Daphnia pulex: one gene and its partner. The protein of the gene in region 2 interacts with the protein of the main gene of each other region in a pairwise test. Links are inferred from orthologs where the notes say so. Each region holds a gene or a part of one and is shown on either strand. Other genes may lie near its edges. The genes, in order: cleavage stimulation factor subunit 2-like and cleavage stimulation factor subunit 3-like.

Region 1 (9,460 bases), on a different chromosome or scaffold from region 2:
TAATTTATTAAAAAAAAAGGTATGGACAATGTACATCGCCAAATTTTTGCGAAAAAGACTTAGTAAAATAATAAATGGTGGTTGTTTTTAGGAAAATTTAAAAAAATAATAAAAATTTGGACAGGAAATTATGTAAAAGTAATATTTTTAAGCGCATGGGGCTTAATTGGTTAGGACAAGCCGCGACTTTGTTATAAGGCGATTTGTAATAGTAAATAGTAATATACAGCAGAAAACAATTCTGATTACAACAATTTATTTTTTTAACGAGGTAATAATATTGATTAAGAGCGAAATGTTTAAGAATCGTTATGAAGGCGGTAGAGTTCATCGGAATAAAAGAATCTTGGTGGTTTAACTTCTCTTTCTCGTTGCAATTCCCCATTCTATCATAACACTCCTGGTTTTCAAACTAACCAACAGGACATTTCGTTTACTTAGGGAAAAGGGACAATAGATTTTCATTTTTAATTATCTACTGATTTATCAGTCTTGAATTTCAGCAACTCCTCAACTTCAACAATATATCAAGTCTGAAACGGCGGCACACGATCGAACTGAAACGAAAGAAAAGAGATTAAGTTCCGAGTCGATAATAAAATAAAATTTTTCATCCATCATTACCTTAACGTGGGTAAATGTAGCAAGAGACGACACCAAAATGTAAGACGACCATCAGGCAACACCAACTATTTCACACAAAAGTTCATGGACACCAACATGGTAAATTGAAGTCAGTTGAACTGCAGGTCTGCAGAAGATCCATTTCACTTTCAGTGCAACTTTCAATCAGAAAATGACTGCCACACCACTGTACGCCAGACATCACCACCAACAGCTTCAACGCCAAACTGACCCGAGGAATCTACAATGCAAAGGAATATCAGTTAACCAAGAACATTTTCAAACTAGTATAAAAAGGGAAATTCAGTTCTGTTAGAGTAAAGCTACTGTTTAACAAAATTACAATTTTACACAAGCTGATGAAAAACTTTTCACAAAGGCCCTTATTTGAAGCAGTTATTGTCAAATGTTATCTAAATCAAAATTTTATACTCAACTCAAGAAATTTCTAAGCAAAGAACAAATACACAGGCTACAGTTTGAGTAAAATGCAAACCCACTTTAGTTGTCTTTCAAGTAAATTGTTTCCATTTCAGATTTCCTGTTTTCTTCCCATTTTCATCTCGCAACATGATACATCAAAGGCATCTTGTAGATTTGGCACTAGACATTGAGAAAAATCTCCATCAACCTGCCAACAAATAAGTAAGATTAGTAAAATAAACTTTTCTAATTATTATTAACTAGAATGCATGTTTTCGCAAGCTCGATTCAAGTGCATCTCTCAACAGAAAAAATTCGCAAAACAAATCACAGAAGATATTTGCAACTAACGTGTAACTTTTGATTACAAAAGTGTGGTAATTTGTAATTAAAAAAACTCAATTTCTATCAGAAACTCAATCACGGTATTTTTATGTGGTAACAAAGTCTTAGGATTATTAAGTTACTCGACATTATTACTTGCACTGTTCTAAAGTACTTTGACGTGTGACAAAACGTGCAGCATGCAGCAAGAGACGACATTTTGAAATAGTGTACAGCAGGGCATGGCCACATGGAATTTGCAAGTATAAGTTTAAGGCCATGTTATCCATAAAAAACATTCACATTAAGGATAAAAGCAGGAATTACCTTTTTTTTATGAAGAACAATGTCAGGAAAGAAAGTACCCAGCAATGATGTCTAGAGTAACCTTCTCGGCCAGCGTCTCGGAAGAAAAAGAATGATTATAGGTTTTTCGTCTCAAAACTATGGAGACCCTCCTTCCAATTCCAATACATGAATACATCCCTCGAACACACTAGGGCTGAATAGTTTAATCCCTAAACACACTGAAATATTTAGCCACCTAGTGACAGCACTTAGCATCCACGGACGAAGACGATAGTCAGTAATAGACCTTTTTCACAATGCGGAAAGTCGGGATTTTCCAATCTGGCAACGCCGTAATCGGCCATTTTAGATTTCATTAATTTTTCCCTGTGTAAATTCCCATAAGGAATCGGGGTACCTTTAGTTTAAATTAATTTTTTAATTATTGGTGTCTTACAGCCAATTTATTTTTCATCGATCGTGTTCCCCGATTAATGGGTAACATTTTCATGTATTTTTACATTTTAACATTAACTACTTATTATATTATCAGCACTTGAACTTGTTTGTTTTGATTCAGTTCCTGATGAGGGCATCAACAACAAAGGAAACTGGGTTTACTGATTCGAGTTTTTCAATTGATTTACGCATTAATTTTTGTCTATTGTTAAGTTTAATCGCAAAGAGGGACTGAAAAATTCCTTTAAAAGTATTTGGGGTAAATTAGTTTAAAATGTACTAATTCAACTTGATTTCTTCAACATTTTGTTCCATACTCTGACGTTTTCACCATATTACCTGATTCATTAGCGTTATTTCGTTAGTATTTTAAGAAAACTCACAGTTCTTTTTTCGAGTGAAACATTGTATTAAACATGAAATAAAGTTTTAAATAAAAATACTGAAGACGTGACGTGACACTGCTTCAACTAGTAATTATTTCTCATTTTTCAATATTTTTTATTCGAAGAACCAATGACTGTTTTGCGGATTCTGATTGTTAGTTGATTCACCAATGTGTTGATGTGTTCATCAAACGTGTTCTGCATTGTACCCTCAGGTACAGTTGTATCTTTCATGAAATCAGTAACTGTGTCTTGTGGAATGTGTGTCTATGGAAGAAAATGATGAGATATGTTAAGTAATGTTATAAATGACATAATAAATATAAATAAAATACAATCCTCTTACATCGTTGAACATGTCCCAGCAATCTGCCTTCTTAGAGAGCGACTAATTCTTTCAACAGTAGCAATCCCAATGGAATTTTGCTCATTATTAGATGTTGGTGCTGCAGTTAAAAACATGTTACTTAGTTACATATTTCAGAGACATATTTCAAACATGACTCAATCATAGAAATTACTTTAAAAAATTTACTATGTTACCAGAAGTAAAATCTTGACTGCATACTCTGCTGTATATTTTTATAAACCTTTTTCTCTCGAATTTGTTCTTTTCAGCAGCCATATACCTGTCTCCTACTTTTTGAAACCCCATATTCTAGATGTCCATTAACATTCACTTTTGAGAAGCAAAAGTTACAGCACCGTAGGCAAGCACATAACATGTCTGTTTTGACATTCCAGAATCAAAACAACCTAATAAAGTTCGAATTACATAATTAATATAAACCGCAAGTAAAATGTACCATATATGAAAATGTTACCCATCAATCGGGGAACACGATCGATGAAAAATAAATTGGCTGTAAGACACCAATAATTAAAAAATTAATTTAAACTAAAGGTACCCCGATTCCTTATGGGAATTTACACAGGGAAAAATTAATGAAATCTAAAATGGCCGATTACGGCGTTGCCAGATTGGAAAATCCCGACTTTCCGCATTGTGAAAAAGGTCTATAAGAATGTCCGCTCTAGCTCGTTGACACACTTAATTGAAATTGAAATAAACCAACAATAAAAGGCAAATAACTTTGTTACTCACGTAATATAATATTCTCCCCTTCAAATTTGTATAAAGTCTTCACCAAAAAGCCACCACCTCAGCATCACAACAGACGAAATCCCAAGGTGATGATGCTTGAGTTGTCTGCTGTTTGACAGAAGTTTGCTTCCGATATTCGATTCGGAAACGCAGCGTCTCATCCAGTTCTGCCTTAATTACGTTAAATACGTTAACATTGATCATCATATTTTGAATTAAACCAACTTAACTATTTATTAATGGCTACCGATCCCCAAGTTGTAATTGACAAATCTTTGCGATCCGTCTTTGGTAACAGCCAATCTTAGATCACTGTGTCTGCTGTGTGATGCATTTTCTATTTTTTTTATTTTTAGTGGGAAACATTCCTTATGATGTCACGGAAGAGAAACTCAAAGATATTTTCAGTGAAGCTGGGCCAGTAGTTTCATTCAAGTAATTTTACATCTGATAAATGTAATTTGTATCCTTCCTAAACTTCTTAATATAAAGGATTGTTTATGATCGTGAAACTGGAAAGCCCAAAGGATATGGATTCTGTGAGTATCGTGATCAGGAGACAGCTCTTTGTGCAATGAGAAACCTTAATGGCTATGAAATAGCTGGAAGGACATTGAGAGTTGATAATGCTTGCACAGAAAAATCGCGGCTTGAAATGCAAAGTCTAATGCAGGTTTGAAATTAAGTTGTACATTATTCTTTAAAAATAATTTAAAGATTAGCATACTCAAACTTAGGAAAAAACAACAGAGAGCCCCTATGGTGATGCTGTTGACCCAACTCAAGCACCTGAAATGATTTCAAAGGCTGTGTCATCTCTTCCACCTGAGCAGATGTTTGAGCTGATGCAACAGATGAAACAGTGCATGCAAAATAACCCCAATGAAGCCCGCCAGATGCTTTTGCAGAACCCGCAACTTGCCTATGCCCTACTCCAAGCCTTGGTCGTCATACGCGTAGTTGACCCCAGCACTGCACTTAGCATGCTGCAGAAGGGTCCGGGCCAGACCGACGTGGGAATGGGAGGACAGCACTTTGCCAAAACATCCAACTTTCCAATGCCAAGTAACGAACCTTGGGTTTCAACCTCGGGTCCCAAACAGGGACTCCTTGGAGATCGCCCTTTTACTGGTATTTTGTAACCAGTGACCTAGCGTCACTGCAAGAGGCATGCACTGACATTAGTTTTTAGGTCAAGATTTGGATTTACGTCATGCTGATCCTCGAATGGTACGAGGCGACCACGATTTGCGAGTACCACCGGCCGCTCCCATGGCTGTAGGAGGAATAGGACTGCCACCAACGATGCAGCAACAGCCGCCCGCAAGGCCTGCACAGACTATGCCTGAGATGGATTCGTAAGTTTACGAGCTGCAATTTTAGTGAGGAACTTCATACTGATTTAACAGCATTTCATTTTTACATTAGGAGGCGTGACCCGCGTTCCAGTGGTCCAACCGGTCCACGCGACCCACGAGCAGGGATGAGCAGGCCGGGTCCCGGTGTACCTCCTATTCCAGCATCTCAGCCAAACGTTCCTCCACCTGTTTTACCTAGCGGGGGAGGTGGACTTAATGTGCCAGTTGCTGCTGCTCCTACAGCAGGAGCTATTGGACGTGCACTGGGGCCAGGAACTTCAGATCAAGAAAAAGTATGTTCAAGACAAAAAAGCTCGTTTGCGATAATAATTTTGATGGTTTCTTTTAGGCTGCTCTGATTATGCAAGTCCTTCAACTGTCTGATGAGCAAATCGCTCTACTTCCACCAGAGCAGCGCCAGAGCATTATGGTTCTTAAGGAGCAAATTGCTAGAAGCAATCGTTAACAGTTCCAATATGATTTGTGTTGACACAGAATCGAAGGATTTAATAAATTGCAACAAATTTTCGGTTGCAAAATGGAATCGTCTCTTTGTCATCAAATGTGTGTAGTACAGATGCAATTGTGAAGCCAAAAAAAAAGAGAAAACAAATAACTAAAAAGGAAGAAAGTAGGAAGACTAGAAAACTAACCTGTTGTACAATTGGCATTTAACTGCTGCTTCGTTATGGTGACTGATGCTCCAATAATTGTGAGAATCAAGCTATCTCAATGACTATTCGATAAGTAACAAACAGGTTAGGTATAATCATCAAGGCGAGATAAAGTTTAACATGGATTTCTTAGAATTCATCGAATTGGGGAGCCAGCGCAAAAAAAAACTTAACAATCGAATGATAAAGAAAAAATATATAGATATATTCCCTTATTTTAACTCTGTCGACATTGGATGGCTGCGCGAGGATCTTCGTCCTGATCATCGTCTGGAGATGAGGCTGGACGACGAGGGCGAACTGTAATATCCGGCATGGCATCCTCAGCCGTCGCACCCATGTTCATAAGAAACATTTCGAAAGGGTCGGCATTCATGCGTCGTTGATTGGCCATCGCTGCTGATTCCGCGTCAAGTACCACACTCCCCAAACGATCTGAGACGACTCTTTCCTTACGGTTTAGAATGAAATTATATTAAATACTGTTGACTAATAAATAATTCAAAAATAAAATTTTTTAATCTGAACCTGTGGTAGCGGAGACCATATGCGAACCACCGAATCGATCCCCGATGAGGCCAACATACATGTGAAAGGATGAGGCTGAAGACAATTAACGATCGATTCATCACCACGCAGCACTCGTTCAACGATTCCAGTGTTACGATCCCAAATAAAAAAACATCCGTCGTCCGATCCAGCTAGAATATACTGCCCGTCGCTAATAGACATCAAACATTTGGTTAAATATTATTTTTCCAATTTTGTAGAGAACTAAACAAAACTCACTTTCCAAAAAAATTGGCTTCTTTAATGTCAGTGGTAGTATTGCAATGACCGCAATAACGGCTGGAGTAGTCCCAGTATTGTGCCCTCCAATTTTTTTCGTTTTCTGTTAAACTCGGAGAATTGACCCCATCTTCCAATAAGTCAGATTCATCATCCAACTCTCCTCTCCGAGCAGTTTCCTTCTCGGAACGTTGTTCTTCAAGCTCAAGCTTTTTCTGGACTTCGACATGAAGAGTATTGAATGTGGAACTATTGGCTTGTTGAGGAAATCTTTCCCTGAGCAATTTGAATGCCTGGTCGGCCAAAACCACTTGGCCAAGATCTAATAGACAGCGTGCTAACCGGTGAAAGGGTTTGATTTGGTTAGGGTCGATCTTCAATGCACTAATGCAATCCTTGAGAGCAGCATACGTGTCTCCGTCCCTAATTATTCAGAACAATCGATCAAAACACATTCACGGCGCCACAAAACTAAAAAAAAAATTCTTTCGTTACCAATTACGTTTCATGCAAGCTGTTGCGCGATTACTGTACAAGACTGGCGAATTTGGTGCTTTGATGAGAGCCTGTAAAATCAGAAGAAAAAACATTAACATTAATTGGCCACAATTTAATGATGCTACGCATACTTTGCTGTACAATCCAATGGCTGTAGTGTACTGCCGTTGCTGGAAGGCCGCGTTGGCCTGAATTTTTATTTGTTCTATGTCTGGGGGTAACGTGAAACCTTTAATTCCATTTAAAGGTTCTTTACCCAAAAGAGGCACTTGAGTAATTGGGGGATTTGGTGTTAGGCAATCATACAAATAAATCTGTTCGCCTCCTAAATTCGCCAAAAGATAGCGACCTGACGGATCGAATGTAACATACGTCGACGCTAACGAGCGAAAACGGCGACGGTAATCATCCAACTTCTGAGGCAGATGACCTTAAATATAGATATGCTTTTTTAATGACAAACTTTAAGGTAACTTTTTTTTCATACCCGGAGCGAAATATTGAGCACATCCAAGCGGAATAGCTGAACGACTTTCTTCACTTTGTGAATTAGTTGCCAATGAGTATTGCCTACCTCGGTTGGGCCTTTCTGCGGAAAACTATAATCAATTTGCAGCGCAGAAACATAATGTTACATTAAGAAAGCTAAATCGTTGAAAATGTTTCTATTTACCGGAACAGATGTGATTTTAATCATTCGTCTGTCATACAGGCGGATGAAAGGATCATTAGCTCCAACGACAAGTTGTTCGGTCCGAATGGGATTAATTGCAATCGATTTTACCTGAAGAATATTTTAAATAAAATATTAATAGACCAGGGAATAAATAATGGTTAACCCATGCGCGTAGCCTACTTCAGCCTGTTTTCCCATATGGCTTAATAAATTAATAAGAATGTTGGACGGACCATTCGTACATGTGTGAGGTGTCCTCAAGTCAAATTGCCTAAAGAAAAATCGCGTTGTATTAATATTTTATCATGGAAAGTGTTAACGAACAATTGTTCTCACATCACTGTCCCATCTTCAGCCCCACTCCAAAGTAGGTAAGGGATATCAGGAGCTGTCGCCAAACGCTTGACACGACCAACATGACAATTACACTGCAGACTAGTCTGAGGAGTGGAATTCATAGATTGTGCATGGTCCACCCAATGGATTTTGACTCGTCCATCTCCAGCTGCACTAGCTACTAGGCCATCCATTGATTGTGGCATGAACTATTCATGTTAGAAAAAAGGGTTACATTTTCTGGAAAAAATTATTCAGCAAATAAATTTTTCTCAACATACTTTCACAGAAAAAATATTGCCTTGATGACCTGTAGATACAATAAGTATCAAAATTTAACAAACATACATTTATCTTATATATACCACAAAATACCTGTATCTATATTAGCAATTTTTTTCTTTAAAAATGGATTCCAGAGTATGATGTGAAGGTCATCTGAACCAGATGCTAAAATTGAACCATCACTGTTCCATTCCAGACAGTTAACACAGCCTCCATGACCAGTAAGTTCGTAATCTAGACCAAGTCGGTCAATCAGACTTTTCATGGATGACAACTTAGATTGGTGTACCAGCCGTAATGAGTCCTGCATAACACAAGATTATTTACAGTGGTTCTTGAAATAAAATGGTAATTTTGAATCTACAGCATTTCACAGACTTGCATCACAATAGTTTACAAATATTTAGGTACTGGCAATCTTACGTTTATCTCTTTGGATCTCAAATAACGCATCACCAAAGGATCACTCAACCACTTGTGTTCCTCCATTTTCAAACTTCAATGTGAGTAAAAGTTCTCAAACCGAAAACATGACGTGACAACGAGAAGTTGCTACTTCTTACAAACTACGATTTTTAACCTTAAAATCTTATTAACGACAAGTAGTCGTCTAGACATAGACAGTGGACGTGTGGTCTTCTGAAGAATCAAGACTTGTTATTGTATGGTCAGGTGTGTCACAAAAACTACGCGGATTGTAGATCTAATTTACGCGGAGATTCTTGAAAAACGTTTGATTTCTTTTCTGCACGTAAGCCACTGTTTCGAGTTGCATAAAAATTAAAAATTGATAAATACACACTACAATACAGGCATGAATTACGCAATTTCACGAACTGAAAAAATAGCAAATCAATTATTTTTACCGAAAAAAGTATATAATCTTATTATCATGTAACGCCGTAGATTCCGTGAAAAAAAATTAGAATTCCAATGTTTTATTCTGAATATAAAACTCGAATGTTCGCGATTTTAATTTTGCACGATCTTAACTTAGGAAGGGAGAAATTGACAAATTTACGGTTACCAGAAGTAACAGCTTTCGCCTTCATGGATGCGCAATTGCGCACGCACCACAGAGAATTCACGAACTGGCCAAAACCAGTGTCACATAATAAGCCAAAAACATAAGTAGCTATTAGTCTATTAAAAAGTGAAAGCAATGAAAAATCTAATGAATAAATAATAATTTCTATCGTTCATTCATTTGAACAAATTTCAATTATATGTCTAAA
Region 2 (9,926 bases):
TACGGTCACACCGGTTCCTGGTAATTTTAAATTGATCAGATTATTTTTTAAAATATAGTTTTGAAATTAATTTATTATTTTACCTTCCAGGCGTTTTGCTAGTTCGCGCGTGAACAGAACATTGGCTAACTTACTCTGTTCGTAAGCTGCTGCAGGATCGTACTTTTTTTCCGAGTTGAGGTCATCAAAATCTATTTTTCCTCTTAAATGGGCCACGCTTGAAACGTTAATGATTCGACTGGGTGCGGATTGCTATTAATACAGCGCTTTTAAAATAGGTATGACATCATTTTTAAATATTAATTCTTACTTTAAGTTTATCAAGCAACAGATGGGTAAGAAGAAAATGACCAAAATGGTTTACCTGTAAAAATTTATTATTGTATTGAGATATTGGAGAAACTCAATTTTATTGTATCGTATATTACCCCTATCTGCATCTCGATACCTTCGAGAGTTAAACTACGAGGACAACGCATTACCCCGGCATTGTTAATAAGGATATGCAACTTTGATTCCTCTAGAAAATAGTTAAGTACATTTGCCACAAAAGGGAATCATATAAGAAAAATACCAGAATTAAATCTTGAAGCAAACTGTCTGATTGATTCCTGTGATGCTAGGTCACATTTTCGGCAATAGATGAATTTGTTCCCACTTTCAAGGACAAATTCTTTTCTAATTTCTTCACACTTCTTCATATCACGAGAGGCCATATATACTTTTGCTCCTCTTTTAGCTAGATCTTTAGCTGTTTCCTTTCCAATTCCATCAGTAGCCCCAGTAATAATCACTGTTTTTCCGTCTAATTTTTCTTTACCTTCATATCTAGTTCCACTGAAATATTCTCTAAAACAACATGAATATTTTAGGTCTAGCAGCAAGATTTGCTGAACTTTAGACAATTTTTTTTACTTGACCAGTATGATCCCGCCACCAAATGCTCCAACAGCAGAGAACCATAAATAAGGTGCAGGAATCTTCATGGTTTATGTTTTCTAAAACCTTTTAGGTTTCGATAGAAAATTGAGAAGGTAAAAATTCGAAGCAACTGTTTACATTTATTTCGGCTGCTCGCGATGGTTGCCCATGGGCAACCCCAACCATGACCATGATTTCAAACAGATTCACGATTGTTCACGAATTAAATTATATTTCGTCTGAACCAGTCCAAATTTAGAATATAAAACTGAAGCTGGTTGAGAAATCATTTTTTAATGAATGTATTTTAAGAAATTTAAGGATAGCAAAAGTTGCAATAAGGCAGTTTTAGTTGCAATTTTTATCCGTATGGTGGAGCACTAGGTCATCGTTCGCATCATAACAGTTTTGAAAATGGAACTTGCAGAAGGATGTGTGTTACAATATCCCTTAGAAAAATGTCCGGCTAATTATATAAATTTAGTCGGTAGCAGAGTCGAAGTTTTAACAATTAATCATGTCAAGTTTGTTGGACAAATCTACTCAATGGATCCAATAAGTGGAAGGTTAGTAGAAACCACAAAGTTTAAGACAACAATGCATGCATATGAAGCCATAGTTTAACATTTCTTTTGAATCTTTCATTTTTAGTCTTTTTATGATGGTCGATCGTTGTAACCAAGAAGAAAGAAGCATAAAATTAGTTATTGGAAATTCAATTAAGTATCTCAAGATTGTAAAATTAACATCAACCAATACCAGAACCCTTACGCAAGAGAACAATGGAATGCAAGGACCTGGAGCTAGCTCCCAACATACTGAAGATTGGAAGCCGCTGAAAGATGCCCTGAAAAAATGGTTTCATGAAAGCCGTATTCCAGTGAATGAAAATAATTATGGTTGTTTACTAGTGCTAAATGAAATAGTAGTAGGCCCCCCTTACAGACCAGAAAATTGTTCTGGTACTAATGAAGTCATGTTGTGGCGAGTTCAAAAATTACTAGAAAACTTTTATCAGAAATGATTTGATTATGGATGGTGTAAACAATTATGTGTGTATTTGTGTTTTGAATATTGATCAAGTAAATTCTTTCATCACTTGACTCGCTTCTGTTGTCGTTTCCTGTAAATATCATTTGGTGGCGGTCCACCAGGCTGAGATCCACTAATGGCGATCGGCTCCTCATCTTCAGACTCTTCACCCACCCCTCTCTTTTTTTGTGGACGATCGACACCCGTATCTTTCGGAAGCCAATGAACACTTCGAGCCATGTCAAATAGTTTAGAATTTTCCGCTGTATTTGCAAGAAGAGAACCTAAAATACACCAATAAATGTTAATGTTTAAAAATATAATACAGCCAAGGGAAATCAAAGTATTACTTGTTTCGCTTATATTCAAATGTTTAATAAGCTCCATTACTGGATCGACTACTACAAAAGGACCGTGGAAACAATGCGGAGGCGGTAACATTCCGCACAGTTGAGAGGCTGCAGGTGGAAGCGGAAATCCTCCTCCTGTCCAAACGCATCAAAGAATTCGTTAAGTTGTAATCTAGAAATACTTTGTAGAAACTTTACCAGGCGCAATGTGTTCTCCGGGGGTCCATTGCATCTTCGGCTTGAACGGAACCATCTGAGAAAAATCGGGCTTGTACATGGTAACATCAGCCGCTTCTGTGCTTTGTTTTCTACTTTCTTCCTCTCTAGCAAGGAGGTTTTTAGCATTTTGACTACTACTCAGCTCTGCTACTTCGTAGTATCCCAAAGCCCTTTTAAGAGAATCATTAAAAACAAATATTAGAAAAAAGTTATCAAGTAACATAAGAAACTCACCTTAAATCCGCGGCTGAGCAAGGGAAGAGGGTTCCAAATCTATACCGATCAATAAGAAGTGCTGTTTCTTTACCTTCCAGTTCCTTAAGCTAAAATAAATAACACAATTGAAATGAATCCAAAAATACACAACACTAAATGAAAAAAAAAATAAAATAAAAAATACCTTGTCGAGAACGGCGTTGCGTCTTTTTTCTACTTTGATTACACTCGAAAGATCACCAATAGAAGACTCAAATTCGAGGAAGCGGTTCCAAATTTCAAGCGAATTTTCAGAAGTGAGGGAACCTGATGAAAGAATCCTTTCAAAGAGAACTCTAGTGTTGTTATCTTCATTTAGTTGGGTCAAGAATTCCACATAAGCAAGCAGATAATCAGGTTGATGCTTGAAACGTTTGAGGCCTAGATCGAATATTTTAAAGGCGATATTTTTGTCCTTGGTGCAATAATATTCCATTAAGGCAGCAGCTACGAAAACATGGCTAGAACAGCGGGGATCCTGGCGAGATCTCTTGAACACTAGTCGAGCCGATTTAATACCTTCTGCTCTCCTTGCAAATCGCATATATTGAATATAACCCTGCGAATGTTTTAAACATAAGGGGTTTGTATGTACAATGTAAAAAGTGATAAAATTACCAAAGTTGGGTCGATGTCATGCTGCTCCAAATATTTTGTATAGATCTGATGAGCTTTGTCGTACTTAATTCGTCCCTCTTCGTAATCCGCATAAGCGAAATAAAGCAAACTATTATGTGACATGGGCCCATTAATTGATCGTTCATAAATATTTGAGACTTCTTCAGCTAAGTTCTTGGCAGCCGTAACATCCTAAAAAGAATCTTTAAATTTAAGAATATTGACAGAAATTGGTGCTTTAACTTACCCCTTTATCTGAAAGAGTTTTTGTGCTAATCTGTAGAAAAAGGGCAGCTTCATACCAAACATGAGGATGATGTCCCAGACATAGGAGACATTGTTCGAAAGCGAACATTGTTCTCTTAGTGAGTAGTGACTGGTCTTCCGTACGGAGGGGATTCGATTTCTCCCAAGCCAGATACTTCTTCCACAGTTCCACCTGTTTGTTTTGTTCCGGATGATTGGATGGAGGAGTCGAAGGCATAGCCTTGTTAAGACCGCGAGTGCAGGCCTCTAGTTCTTTGGCAACTCTTCTAGCATTCATGTAATCACGGCTGCGCTCCTAAATAATTGAAAATAAGTGTTTAAAAAGTGTTAGGGTAAGGTTTAAAAAAAAAAAAACTGTACCTGTTGCATCTTTTCAGCAATCATGGGGTTAATAGCCAATTCATAAGCAATGTAATCCTTCCATAGTTGTTCAATGTTAAGCATTGGAGTGATTACACCCCTTTGATACACTTTCCTCACAGCCGTGATCCTTTGATTTTCAGCATAAGATCCAACAGCTTCAACATTACGGAGGAAGTGAATATAGTCATTCCAAATACTGTATGACTGAATATCCATCCCAACTTTGTCCAGTGTAAAATCGTAGCATTGAGCAATTTTTTCTCTGTGAACATTGGTATGATTAAAGAAAACAATATTTAGTGTTTGTATATTCAAGTTTGTTGTACCTGTAGTTGGGCAGAGCACTTTTGGTTTCTTTCACATAGTTAACATACAATTTCCACAGTTCAATGTTTAAAACCTTGACCAAGCATCGTTGAAACAGCTAAAAATAGGGAGGAGCAAGATTGAATGGCTTCATTAGAATGTGCTAAATTAATTGCTACCTTTTCGACTTTATCATAGTTTCTTGCTCGCATTTCTTGTTCAATGTACATTTTCCAATAACGACCTGATGTCGGAAACTGGGCCACCAAGCGTTCAAAGTAAGTTCGAGCATCATCAATCTTGCGTATTTGGGCTTCACGCAAAATTTGACCCCAAGCTTCCAAATCAAATGGATTCGATTCTATAGCCTTCTCGGCTCTTGCTAATTTATCAGCCATTTGTTTATTTTAATGCCAGTAAGCTGAAAATTGTTTATAAATTGATGAACCACGTTTCTACAATTCCATTCAAAATCGCAAACAAGTCACACTTGACAACTTACTGCTTTTGAAATAACATCGTCTGCATCAAGCATCAAGCCTGCAAAAGAGCCTGCCGGCAAGCTCCAGAGATGGCGTTACGGCTGGTTGGTACGAAAATTCGAAGGAAGAGAACTGCTCAGAAATGAGTCAGTCGTCAGTGAGAGAACTTGCAAAAATAATATAGCAGGGTGTGTGCATTTGCATTCTGCCTCTGCGGTTCTGCCATTAACTCTGAGATTTGAGAAACAAACAGATGGCAGAAATCATTCATTCTAGGATAGGGTCTATTTCATGTGAAGTTACGTGAGCACAGGTCTGTCCTTGTTATACTTCCTCGAAAATGGCACCCATCTCTGTAGGTAAACATCAGTTTCATTTATTTTCAGTTTGAATTGTACTACTCAAATCAAGATGATTGCAACGTGACCAGCAATTCTTACAGGTTAAACCCTGGTGATGATACTATAATGTTAGTTTTGTTATCTGCCAAAATTAATGTTGTAATAGGGAAATACTTTATCCAACGTTAGCAGCAATTTCAACAATTATTGCAGGTGTGAAAAGCATTGTATTTAAACAAACATTTATCGAGAAATGAACATGTGTTTGTGTGGGGTTTTTTTTTGGGGGGGGGGGGTATATTATTTAAACCAAGGAACTAGAAAGTTTGGCACAACCTCGTCAGCGTACGTTGACCAAGTTTGTATTTGCTATTTGGTAACGGTTACCTAAAACAAACTATGTAACTCTGTAACTTGTGAATTCGGTAACGAGTCATTTTCCTGTTTGAGAATTTGGTTCCATAAAACGACAGTATTTATCGACAAACAATTCGATTTTTTTAATTGTCGGGTTTGTGACCACGATTGATCGAATACGACCACATCGCACAGGAGGGAATCAACTTCGTCGATAGCGCTGTTAAGTTTAAGAGTCAATTTAAAATTTTTTCCGGCCACAATCTGCGATTCTGCTTTGATAATCCTAATCAATCGGACAGGTCCTGAGTTATTATTTGCAGATATGGCGGTTGTGGCGAAATCGGCGATCTCCTTTATGTAGGCGTCGTCCACGTCGATAGTAGAAAATCCGCCAGTGATTCTAGCAGGAATGTTCTCATTGACTTCTGGTTGTATTTCAATTGGCATTCCGAAAAATCCAAATGGACCGGGACTAGGATGTTTAATACGAAGGATTTCGCCAACTTCATCACCACTCATGAAAACTCGATCAATGGCGTAAATGGTTCCCAAATCTTTTTCCAATTGAATGGCTACCTGTTGGATTTCTGTCTCGTTTACCAGCTGTGTTAAAGGATCTAGAAAAAAGAAGTCAAAATAAGCAGTGATTCAGTTTTTCTGTAAAATCATCCTAAAACAAATTTTAATTGAATTTAGGAAGATTTGCAGCCGATTTTTTTTTAGAGAAGTTCAAATCAATCCAGTAAATATGTTTTTATTTCATTTTTAATGTTTAATAATTTTTTATTTAAATAACTAACTTACGGACTGCTGGATCACAGGCGGCTTGGCATTCTTCTTCTGTTTCAAAAAGATTTTTCGTCTTGAAACAGCCACCGTATACGTAGTTCTCACATCTGCCGGAATTTGGCTGGAACGTCCATGACGGGATGTATGCTTCACATTCAGATCCATCGCTGTCTATTGGAGGTAGGTTGCATAATTCATTTGCGCTCTTGCTTGTGAAAATAACCTCGTTAGAGTCGGCCATGACGAGCTTGTCCAATTTCCCTATATCGTCCGACGAAACATCCTCGCGAACAAAATGGCGAATCAGTACCGACCGGCGAAAATCGGCGTCCATTACGAGAGGATCGCCAGCGTCTTGCGGCATTTGCATCATGAAAGCCATCGATGTGGGTGCAAATAACGTGTAGCCCAATTTTCTTCCGTCTATTTTTTCCCGTTCAGTCAAATAGGATAAATAGTTAGTATTTAATATTAAATTCACTTAATTCTAAAATGCAACTATGAACATTTTTCGTAATTACCAGAACTGGTGAGAGGAAACTCTTTTATCAAGGTTTCACGAGACGCATTTAGATAACCAGCCATTCTCGACAAGTCTTCACGTCCGTCAATAGCTCGCAGTATTTCAGTTACTATGTCAGTCTCGGCTTCGATCGGCGCCAAACAATTGGACTCCTTCAGTTCAAGTGTGTGAGTCCACGATTGATGAAAAACGAGTACATTGCAAATAAGATTACTTCCTACGGCTCCATCGGCAGCACTACCCAGCTCCAGAGTTAGTTTGTAATTCTTACCGGCTACAACCTGCGATTCTGCTTTTACAACTTTGATCAATGCTAATGGCCCCGAATTACTGCTTTCTGATATTCTAGTTGTAGCAAAATTAGCCATTTCTTTGACTGAAGCGTCGTCGGTGTCGATCGGCGAGAAGCCACCGACCATCATCGCCGGAGTGTCAGGAACAGCTTCGATTTGTGGTTTTTGACAGTTCACAGAAGCTCCCAGTTCACGAGCTTCGGTCCAAGAATGAATTACTTTAATTGGTAAACAGTTTGACTTGCTCAGTTTCCGTGTTTGCGTCCATGGCTGATGGAAAACAATCACTTCGCAAAGGGTTTCTTCGGTCTCGCTAGCCCCGTCAACGACGCTACTGAGCTCTAGGATCAATTTATAATTCCTTCCGGCCACTACTTGGGATTCAGCTTTGACTATTTTGATTAGTGATAAAGGCCCAGAATTGCTGCTCTCCGATATGGCACTTGTAGCAAATTCGGCTATTTCCTTGACGTTGGGATCGTCCACGTCGATCGGTGAGAATCCGCCTACTACCTTTCTTGGGCGACCTGGAACTCGGCCTGGAATATGGCGTTTAGTGAGTGAAACCGAAACAGCGCTCTCAATAAGGGTCAATGTTAAGATAACCAACAGGAAGAAAGTCGCTTTTGGAGTCAGTGTATAAGACATGTCGTCTTAATGCCTATGTTATAAACGATAGGAAGTAGCACTTCAAATGGTGAGAGATCCGACGATGCTGCCACAATTTTGAACACTGCGAGCTTCTTTTATGCCGACCACGCTCTTCCTTCAGACCCGCTAGCTGTAAAAACTAGATCAAAACTCGTTTGGAAGTCCTTGGTCTAGATTTTTCATTAGCAGTCCATGGTAACATAACAATTTGAATGACGAAAGGGTTTCAGCGATTTTGGGGTATAGAAAAGTACGTTATTGCAGCTTATCAGCCAATCCCATTCGGAACGATGTCTGTTTACCAATTTTTGGGAACGAAGACATTATTTTATCTACTGTCAATTGATAACCGTTTAGACGTCATTTTTATTTCACAAGAAACGTTTCTTGCGGAGTAAAATGACCTATTTCCCCCCCCCCCCCCATGAACAAGATTAGAATATTAAAAAATAAAATAACAGTACGTATCGTCAAATGTAAATCAAACACATGTGTGAAGTATATCTTGTTACAAAATTTAGATTAAGAGGCTAAAGATTTCCGAAAAACCAAGTGAAAAAATTCGTTCTTTATTTACATTGATAAATATGATCAAAAGGTTCAAAGTATTATAGTGTCAAGTGGTATTGAAAAAATTAATGAATGTAGGCTTGTTGTTTCATAAAGGATTGGTGTTGTAAAATCCTGTGTTTTATGATTTGCGGATCGAAAAACTAAGCTTATTTTACTTACCTGAACTATCGATTCGTTATTCTTACTGCTTTAGTTTCCTAACGATTTACAACATTTTGTAGTGAAAAAATGTAAATATTTAATTGGTAAAAGTTATTACATAATAGTTTCTAGCGCATTTTAGAGTTTCCGTTCATATCCGGTAAATAACATTTCTTTTTTTAAATTTTATTTCAGAATTGCTGCAGTGATAACTCAGGCCTGCCAATCAGTCCAGTCTTAAAAGTCACAGAAGTAAGGTTAAGCTTAATTTTAAACTTAGTGTGTGTGTGTGTGACAACTTGATGTTCATTCAACACATTATTAGTTTAGTTTTAATGGATCTGTGTGTTGCTTAAAAATGTTTATGTTCACGACAGATAGAAAAAGATTCACAGTGGTCGTCAGCGTGTTCTTTTGGTTCACCATTGGATCATATATCTACTCTTTCCGTGTTGGTGATCTTTTGTGTGGACGAAATGCGATCAGCGCCCAACCATTTTGTTTTGCTGCAACAACGGGAGGATTCTTTTTCGGAACTGGTTTGGTCATCGGAACTGCCTGGCACTTTACGCCCATCTCGCTGCGGCCTTTCCTAGAATGCTGCTTATCTCTTGTGGGGACCATGCCTAGTGGATTTACTGCTCACGTTTTTGTGAAAGCCTTAGCTTACACAGAAATAATCCAATCCCTGTGTCACATTAGAGAACTGACGATTATTCCGCTGACAGCAGTCGATTGTTTGCAGAACGAAACGATTTATTCGGCACAGCTCATACGTAACAGTTCAGTTTTTCAACAACATCATATGAATCAGGTGAACACAGGTGTTGTCGATATCGCAGCCAAGTTCAACAACGTCAATGGAACTCAACATCAATTTCGTGACGCGATTGAAATTGGATTCAAGTGGCTGGAGAGCAAAGGAATTAGCTGTCAGCAAAGCTTTTCCAAACCTTTTGAAATATGTTTGAACGCTACAAAAGCAGCCAAAAAAGATTGTCTCCTTAAAGGAGCGGACGCCCTTTGCGATATCGTAGACATCTCGGAAGAAATTTGTCTAAGGTTGATGACATTAAGCAGAGGACCTTGCCAAAATCTGGGACCGGAGAAGATCACTGAAATGTTAATGAGTCTTCGGGAGCGTCTGGGAAGTTTGGCGAGTGGAGCTATTCGAATGCGCGTGGGCATATTATTTGAACTCCATGCCACCTCTAATGTCGAGAATAAGTTAAACGGGACTTGGACTTCTATTTTGAGAAGCCTTCGTAACACTTCCGAATTTATTCGTAAGATTTACGACATTACTATCGACTACGTTCTCAAGTTAACGGCTGCCATGGGACTCTTATTTTGGCCAGTTGGCTACCTTTGCTTTTACCTTTGGGGTCCACTCTCATTCGATAATTTCTACATAACAAAAACTGAACAAAAAGAGATTCAAG

The links.
Region 1: the proteins of cleavage stimulation factor subunit 3-like (region 2) and cleavage stimulation factor subunit 2-like interact in a two-hybrid assay, tested with the Drosophila melanogaster proteins (2 studies listed by BioGRID). The link is inferred for Daphnia pulex from reciprocal best matches to the Drosophila melanogaster genes su(f) and CstF64.

What each region holds. Positions count from the first base shown.
Region 1 is NC_060018.1:3,669,557-3,679,016, reverse strand, and holds cleavage stimulation factor subunit 2-like, read left to right. Parts: upstream 1-3,523; 5' UTR 3,524-3,848; coding exon 3,849-3,900; intron 3,901-3,965; coding exon 3,966-4,044; intron 4,045-4,101; coding exon 4,102-4,282; intron 4,283-4,346; coding exon 4,347-4,740; intron 4,741-4,801; coding exon 4,802-4,967; intron 4,968-5,037; coding exon 5,038-5,260; intron 5,261-5,316; coding exon 5,317-5,433; 3' UTR 5,434-5,511; downstream 5,512-9,460. Other genes in the region: WD and tetratricopeptide repeats protein 1-like, read right to left, coding at 5,859-6,092, 6,170-6,362, 6,431-6,853, 6,926-6,996, 7,060-7,358, 7,416-7,527, 7,602-7,712, 7,785-7,875 and 4 more.
Region 2 is NC_060019.1:11,044,980-11,054,905, reverse strand, and holds cleavage stimulation factor subunit 3-like, read right to left. Parts: upstream 4,881-9,926; 5' UTR 4,730-4,880; coding exon 4,511-4,729; intron 4,450-4,510; coding exon 4,352-4,449; intron 4,288-4,351; coding exon 4,023-4,287; intron 3,958-4,022; coding exon 3,643-3,957; intron 3,588-3,642; coding exon 3,396-3,587; intron 3,337-3,395; coding exon 2,923-3,336; intron 2,846-2,922; coding exon 2,757-2,845; intron 2,693-2,756; coding exon 2,502-2,692; intron 2,439-2,501; coding exon 2,304-2,438; intron 2,238-2,303; coding exon 2,017-2,237; 3' UTR 1,958-2,016; downstream 1-1,957. Other genes in the region: retinol dehydrogenase 13-like, read right to left, coding at 1-17, 84-252, 311-364, 429-520, 575-849, 916-986; uncharacterized protein LOC124191292, read right to left, coding at 5,542-6,131, 6,319-6,726, 6,825-7,767; uncharacterized protein LOC124191294, read left to right, coding at 9,107-9,926. UniProt on the Drosophila melanogaster protein: Essential protein, may play a role in mRNA production or stability.